Linked DNA regions of Macaca fascicularis. The protein of the gene in region 1 binds, or shares a complex with, the protein of each later gene. Links are inferred from orthologs where the notes say so. Each region holds a gene or a part of one and is shown on either strand. Other genes may lie near its edges.

Region 1 (4,018 bases):
TGGTCAAATCCCACTTTGGGATCATGGCGTCTTGCAAGAGACAGGAGCTCCCTTCTGCCCTCAGCTGATGGAGGGAAGGGTTGTATCAGCCATTAGTGTGCCCAGTTGTGGCATGGACATTACCTGTGGGATGCAGTGGGGACCTGTGTTTGTCAGCCTGAGGCAGTGAATCCACTGGGAAAACTGAGGTGCCTAAACCCTCAGTCTCCCCCAGGCCTGCCTCCAGTACCCTACGCAGAAGGGGAACTTCCCCACTTCCTTTCAGAACCTTAATTTTAGGGGCTGAGCCCTTGCTCCCCTTGGGTCTTGCCGGTCCCTTTGCCTGAGAAGAGAATGTCTCTACTCCAGCAGAATCTGACAGCGATCCTTGGACTAGCAGAGTTATGCAAAGAAATGATGGTGACAGTTTATTTATGGACGCTCAGATTCGCGGCCGGCCGTATGATGGAGGCGGTGCTACTGTGAGGGAGAAGTGAGGAGAACATGATGGCTGCAGGGATAAATGTAAAACAGAGACATTTTCACCTCCTTAGAGCACCACTGAGGCCCGGGTAAGGAGAGTGTTTTGCCCTTCTCAGATACTATCAGGAGTCAGGTAATACCCGGAAGGTGCAGTTTGTCTGCAGCCTGTCATCCCAGTTACAGCAGACGGAATGGAAGAGAACACAAGGAAATATTCTATTTATGTGTCTTTTAAGTCATTATTTTATGAACTGGTCTTATTCTAACTGGATCATTTTGCTACTTTCTTTGGATGGGTCATTCTAATAAGAGTCGTTCCTGACTGCGAACTACGCAGATAAGAAGTTCTAGACACAATATAAAAATCCAGGTGCATACTTGCACAAAATAGGCACGCCCCTCCTTTTCACTAAATCTAAAGGGCTCAGTCTCAGGTCTCCGGGAAGGCTGCATGGCCGGGGTCTAGCTTGTGTGCCGCTCGGGCAGTTAGTGGGCCGGGCGAGCCTTCGGGGCTGGAGGGGACGCGGGGCTGAGAGGCTGGGGAGTTGGGGGCTGACTCCGGGCGGGCGGGGCCGGGCAAGGACCAGCTGGCCTGGGGCGGGCGCACCAGCCGAGCTCTCTGCCCGCGGGTCCCCAGCGCCCAGCCGCGTCCCGGCTGCGTCCCGCCCCGCCCCGCCCAGCGGAGCCGCCGCCAGTAGTGGGAGCCGCGCACTGAGAGGCGGGGACTGCGCTCAGCGGAACAGCAGCCCTGGGGCCGAGAGTGGGGCCGGGATCCGAGAGCAGGTGACGCCAAGAGCTGAGTGGGACTCTTGAGCGCGCGGTTCAGCACCTACCAGGGCGTCCCCTAAATTACCTCGCCTTCGCCTGTCTCTGGGAAAGAGGTAAGCTTTGGGCTTTCGAGGCGCAGTTCTAGCTAGACCTCCGTTCTGGGAGGTGGGAAAGGGGCTTGACCCTGGGGGCTCAGATAGGCAGTCTGGGGACAGTTCCACCGGGGCCGGTGCCTAGAAATGGTGAGGGAGGCACCTCAGGAGCTGGGAGAGAAGGAGTGAGCGCTCTTCTCCCCTCTCTGGCACCCAGCGGCGCGCCTGCTGGCCGAGAAGGAAGCGAGAAGTCTGTCCTCCCTGTCCTGTCCCCGGCAACTTGCGGCCAGGGTGGGGGTCCGCAGGCTCCGGGTCCCCAGCGGCGCCAGCCAGGGCGGGGGCAAAGTTTGCCTCTCCGCGTCCAGCCGGTTCTCTCGCTTCCGCAGCCCAGCAGGTGCCGCCTGTCCTCGTCTTCCCGCTGCAGCCGCCCCACCATGGACTCCCCGGTCCAGATCTTCCGCGGGGAGCCGGGCCCGACCTGCGCCCCGAGCGCCTGCCTGCCCCCCAACAGCAGCGCCTGGTTTCCCGGCTGGGCCGAGCTCGACAGCAACGGCAGCGCCGGCTCGGAGGACGCGCAGCTGGAGCCCGCGCACATCTCCCCCGCCATCCCGGTCATCATCACGGCGGTCTACTCCGTGGTGTTCGTTGTGGGTTTGGTGGGCAACTCGCTGGTGATGTTCGTGATCATCCGGTGAGCGCTGGGTCGGCGCGGCGCGGGGGGCTGGGCAGGGCAGGGCAGGGAGTGAGGGTCGGGCCCCGCCACTGTAGCGGCGGTGGGGGCAGCTAGCCAGGCGATGGGAACTCTGTTCTGTGAAGGATGCTGGAAGTGCTACAGGGTGGCCTCCTAGAAGAGGTGAAGGATTTTCTGGGAGTTTTTGGTGGAGTGCTGAGAGGTTCACACAGGCGAATCCGAGCGTCCAGGGGCATCTGGAAGATTTCAGAGTGACTCCCCCGACTCCACCCTAGGGCCCAGCGTTTCTGCTGAAAACTCTATGCGCAGGGCAAGGTGCCTGAGTGCTGACAACAGGGTCAGGGTCTCCTGGTAAAGGAGTTAATCCATTTGCCTGGTTGCCTGCGCCAGTTCGTAGCACTTTGTTATGCCCTTTGCAAATATTTCTTAAGATCAATTTCAAGCCCACCCAATGCACTGAAGATAATTCCGAATTTCCTGTGACTCCTCCGACTGGTGTTTTGGCTTATGAAACAAAAGCTGATATATGATCTAGCGTTGTTGATATGCATATAGGAGCCTTTTTAGTACCAAATGTCATCCCATTTGTTAGGAATATCAGTAAATAATATTTATCTTCTAAAGCATGGCCTGTGGAGATTTTCAAAAACTGCTTTGCTGTTTTTTTTTTCCACCATGAGAAATTGAAGGTTTTATTTTATTATTTTTTGTGTGTGTGTGGAAATTTCTTTAGGTCAACTTCCAATAATAAGTATCGCAATGTCCACGAATATGGTAATTTTCTGGTAAGCAAAGTGATTCTGACTTTAAGAAAGAAAAACAAGAAAAGAAAAACCTAACTTTGTTCTGCAGTCTTCTTGAGAGAGATGTGTTTCCTTTTCTGGAAGCACTAGAGTTTTGTCAACACACCTGTGAGAAGGAGTAGGACACTTGTGTTCCTTTGAGAAGTCTCTGTGAAATAAGGGCGGGGTGCAAGTCACCCTGGCTAGGGACTCTGAAAGGATGAATAACTGATTTTTTTTTTAAGCTTGATTTTAGTTTTGAAACAGGCCTTTTGTTTATTATGAACTTTAGCAACCATATCATGAATGATAGCATAAATCTTTCCCTTGGAATATTATCATAATAAAAATACTGCTTTATCTTTTGTTTTTTGTTTTGTTTTGTTTTGTTTGCTTGAGAATGTCAGGTCTTTTCTTCCTATGTATGCTCTGACATTAAAAACCATCATTTAAGTCTCCAAACACTTATTATAAAGCTCATTTCACCAACAACTAGTGTTTATAGCTTGGTGCCCTTGGTTTTCATAATTGCCTATTGCATTTCCCAGGAATTCTATCCATGATGAGTAAAGGAGGGAATATTTTAAAAGTAAATTGTTTGTCCAAGTCATTAGTAATCTGAGGGCTGGCCTCTACTAAAGAGACAATTAGACAAAAGAAAAGACAACTGTATTCTAAATTTTAATCAAAATTTTTAGGAGATCTTTGGTACAGAAGCCATTTTTTTGGTGGTGGGGTAATAGAAACATTGTTACACAAAAGAAAGCTCTAAGAAAACAAATTAGCTCTGTTTCTACCCATATCATATTTGGGTGCTCAAGTAAAACAGATACATATTATTGTTATTTGAATGAGCCCCTGAAGTCTCCAGTTTGAAAAGAGCTTTGTAGTTGCTCTACAACCTTTTGCAGACTAGAATTAAAAAGACTGAAGAATCCTAAAATAACATTTAGATGTTATGTGCAAATATAACTCCGTGGGGAACATTTGACATGGAAGAAGGAAAAAAAATCCTGTAGATTAGCTAGGACTTTTAATGGATAGATTTCCCAAAGATATCCAACACTAAAGTGTGTTATAAGGGGATAAGTTCAGCTAAAAATATAAAAGGAGTTGGATAGTTCGCATACATCGTTCTCCATTCTCCCACTCCATTCTCAATACTTAAAGGTTACATTTGATGATAAATGAAAAGCGAAGAGTTCTACTGCCATCCTGGAGTG
Region 2 (3,946 bases), on another chromosome or scaffold:
AAAACATCAGATGAATAAAAATTTAGGGACATTCTACAATATACCTCACCAGTACTCTTCAAAAATGTCAAGGTCATGAAAGACAAAGCAAGGCTGGATAACTAACTGCCCTTCCAGATTGAAGGAAACTAAAGAGGCATGACAATTCAGTGCAACATGTGATACTGAATTGGATCCTGGGGAATAGCTATAAAGGACATTACTGGGGCAATTAGCAAAATTTAAATATGGATGGAGTGTATTAAACAATTGTATAATTGTTAAAATTCCTGATTTCTGACCACTGTACTGAGATTATGCAAGATAATGTCTTTTTTTAAGGAAACACACAAATATTTGGGATAAAGGAGCTTGATGTTGGAAACTCTAAAACGATGTAGTAAAAATTATATGTTTTATATATGTGTGTGTGTGTGTGTGTGAGAATATCTATATACCGTATACTGATTTCCTTTCTTTTGGGGTATATACCATATAGATATCCACACACAACATGTATTTGTGTATATACACACACATACGAGAGGATATGGAAATGCAGCAAAATATAACAATTTGTTATTCTAGTGGAAAAGCATATGATCTTTACGATTCTTGAAATTTACGTGTAAATTTGAAATTTAATCATGAAAACAGAAGCTTTCAGCGACCAAATACATTATCAGAAATGGCCTGTCCCCAGTGAGCACTCTTTAGCTCATTCTTTTTCTACATCGCACTTATCACTGGCAAAAATTATCCTGTGCATTTATTTAATAATATTTAACATTGTGTGCAAGGCTGTCAGTGCTTTACCTGTATAACCTCTGTGAATCTTCTTACAGGTCAGGAACAAATACACAAGAAGATTGATTAACTTGCCCAAGGCCACCCATGTGGTTTGTCTCCTGCAGTGGCACAGAACCTCAACCAAGGCAGAAACTGCATTGTCTATTAGACTTAGAATGTCTATTAGACTTAGACTTGCTCAGCGACTTAGAATGGTGCCTAGCACATTACGGGTGTTCAATAATTATCCGTAGATTCAGTTAATAAACACTGGGCACCCACTAGGCCTACATCGGAATACAAAGTACAGAACAAAATATTCAAAAATCTGTGCCTAAATGGAGCTTTGAGTACTAAAACTCAGTCCCACACCAATTAGCGTCCATCTAGGTATTTCATTTGGGTCTATCATTCCTGAGAATTAAGGCCCATTCTTAATAGATCCTCAGAGAAACGGATGCTCAGGGTGGGTCAATGATTTGCACAAGATAACTGTCTTGGTAGAAGGGAAGGTCGGGATTCCAACTCAGTCCCTGAGGTTCCCAGGCCCGACATATGAATCAAACGACCAAGACATCACCCAATCAGTATTTATTAGACGCCTACTGCGGACGATTGGTCTTCACGCAGGTCAGGCGAGAAGGGGTGGTGATGCGCGGGCCGCTGCGGAGACCCGGAGCCCGCCGCGGATCACGGGAATTTGGCGCCTATTTTTTGTTGGCTGGGTGTTCTCGCCGGTGATTGGGTCTCGGCAAGGCGTGCCGGTGCGCTCGGCTGCGGCTGCTCCGTCGACCTTGGCAGGACCGGGCGGTGCAGGACTCACTCGGCTGGCCTCCCGGGGGATGGGCCACCAGGAGTCTCCGCTGGCCCGGGCGCCGGCGGGAGGTGCAGCTTATATAAAGAGGTTATGTAAAGGGCTCAGCTGGCGCGAACACGTGGAAAGCCACGGGAGTCTAGGAGCCTGGGCCTCCCCAGCGTGCGCCGCAGCAGCAGAAGGATCCGCTGCACGCCGGGCTCCGGCCACCTCCCGCGCTGCTCGGTCCCGGAGGCAGCCCAGGCCCGGAGCGGACCATCCCCAGGCAGGGGCTCCAGGGAGGAAACGGGCCGCCCGGAAGTGGAGGTGCGCGGGCCAGGTAAGGGCGCCGTTCGAGGACTTAAGGCCAGCGCCGAGGCTGGAGTTACTGCCACTGCCTCCGCGCTTGGGAAGGGAAATCGGGTCCTCGGCCGGTCACGCTCCGAGAAGCCGAACTTTTGAGCCAATCCCTTCTACCCGCCGCCCTCGGGGACTTGGGTCGGTCCGCTGGGCTCCGCTAGGGCTTAATTCAATGGACTGTTTACACGCGGGCGAACACAAGGCGGGGCGCGGGGAGGGGCGTCACGGAGGGGGCCAGGCAAAGAAAAAGATTTCCGCCGGCCAAATCGCGTCCTAAGGCGGCTTTCAGAAGGCGTGAAGCTTGCTGGCTCTTCTTTTTCCTATCGCTACATGACAAGCTAACAGAGAGAGCGGAGAGTTTTTGCTTTTCTTTCCGGTTCCCCCTCTGATCCGCTGCCCAGTGGTTCCGTCTTTCCCGCTTTCCCCTCCCCTCCCCCGTTCAATCAGCGGTGGTGGCTTCCGTCTTAAAGGGGCCGCGGCGGCCGGGGGAGGAGGAGGTGGGACGCCCCGCGGCCTACACTCCTGGCCTCCCCGCCTCGGCCTGGTCGTTTAACCGATTCTTTCGCCCGCAGGTCACAATCCAAGGTCCCGCTCCTCCGCGTCCCAGGGCCGGACGGAGGGATGAGGCAGGGGGGGCCCGGGCAGCGCCGTTGCTGCTCCCCCCGCCGCCCGCAGCCATGGAAACGGGGAAGGACGGCGCCCGCAGAGGTACACAAAGCCCGGAGCGGAAAAGGCGAAGCCCAGTGCCGCGGGCGCCCAGCACGAAGCTGAGGCCGGCGGCGGCGGCCCAGGCCATGGATCCGGTGGCGGCCGAGGCCCCGGGCGAGGCCTACCTGGCGCGGCGACGGCCGGAGGGCGGTGGCGGGTCCGCGCGGCCGCGCTACAGCCTGTTGGCGGAGATCGGGCGCGGCAGCTACGGCGTGGTTTATGAGGCAGTGGCCGGGCGCAGCGGGGCCCGGGTGGCGGTCAAGAAGATCCGCTGCGACGCCCCTGAGAACGTGGAGCTGGCGCTGGCTGAATTCTGGGCCCTCACCAGCCTCAAGCGGCGCCACCAGAACGTCGTGCAGTTTGAGGAGTGCGTCCTGCAGCGCAACGGGCTAGCCCAGCGCATGAGTCACGGCAACAAGAGCTCGCAGCTTTACCTGCGCCTGGTGGAGACCTCACTGAAAGGTAGGAGCACCGCGGGCCTTTCCACCCACGCAGGGCCTGGACCCCCTGCTCTCCGGACGGCTTGACCCACACTGTTCCCGGCTCTTCTAGGCCTCAGACCTGGTCCCTGTCACTCTGTGCCCAGACACACCCTCCTTTCCTGGTTCCAGGCTTTCGGCCCTCTCTCTTCTGCGGTCCCAGGATCAGCCCCGGAGCCTAAAGTTGGCTGGTATTTCCATAACAAGAGCTCGTTTAAGTGCTAACCATTAACTTAATAACTGCTCAACATTTGTGAGCTATGGTTATTAAACGTCTTCTATTTAAGATCCGTCGAGGAGTGGAGGAGGGGTTGGGTTCAGTTAGTAGCAAAGCTGCAGAGTCCCCTCACCCCCTAGGACCTCTGTTTCCCTCCCAAAACAAACAAAAAGAAAAAACTTCACTGGACCCACCCACACCCTCTCCCAGTCTTGCTTTCCCAAGTTTCCCGACACCCTCCAGCTCCAACCCCCAAACTCTTGTGGCTTCCTCGTCTGCCTTTTTTTCTGAGGCCCCCAGCCCTTCATCCCAGGCAGCCAAGCAAACTGACGGTTTTCTGGCTTGGTCCTCTGAGGCATGCAGGCTGACAGCCCTCACAGGTGGCCTTGAGAGCTGTCACATAACAAAGCATCCAACATCTTTTTCCTCCGTTTTACGTTCTTAATCTTTTTAACCTCAGAGGCTGGCTGGCAGATGGTTTTACTTAAAAGGAAAATGGGGTTCATTGAGGCAAGAGGTCTTGCAGTCCTGGAAGAACTAATTATCTTAGTTTCCGGGTTTTAACTGCAGTTAGGGAATGTGTTCATCCTAACTACCCAGTACCTACAAGCCTTTCATACC

The links.
Region 2: the proteins of OPRK1 (region 1) and PDYN are in contact, whole or in part, in a cryo-EM structure (PDB 8F7W), measured with the Homo sapiens proteins. The link is inferred for Macaca fascicularis from reciprocal best matches to the Homo sapiens genes OPRK1 and PDYN. Residues at the interface, in NP_000903.2 of Homo sapiens: Thr111, Gln115, Trp124, Val134, Ile135, Asp138, Tyr139, Met142, Lys200, Glu209, Cys210, Asp216, Tyr219, Lys227, Val230, Phe293, Ile294, Glu297, His304, Ala308, Leu309, Tyr312, Tyr313, Ile316, Tyr320; in NP_001177821.1 of Homo sapiens: Tyr207, Gly208, Gly209, Phe210, Leu211, Arg212, Arg213, Ile214.

The regions. Positions count from the first base shown.
Region 1 is NC_088382.1:63,228,534-63,232,551, reverse strand, and holds the start of OPRK1 (kappa-type opioid receptor), read left to right. Parts: upstream 1-1,218; 5' UTR 1,219-1,343; intron 1,344-1,708; 5' UTR 1,709-1,756; coding exon 1,757-2,013; intron 2,014-4,018. UniProt on the Homo sapiens protein: G-protein coupled opioid receptor that functions as a receptor for endogenous alpha-neoendorphins and dynorphins, but has low affinity for beta-endorphins.
Region 2 is NC_088384.1:85,203,724-85,207,669, reverse strand, and holds the start of PDYN (proenkephalin-B), read right to left. Parts: upstream 2,494-3,946; 5' UTR 1,902-2,493; coding exon of another isoform or gene 1,611-1,901; 5' UTR 796-1,610; intron 1-795. Other genes in the region: STK35 (serine/threonine-protein kinase 35), read left to right, coding at 1,611-1,901, 2,494-3,091.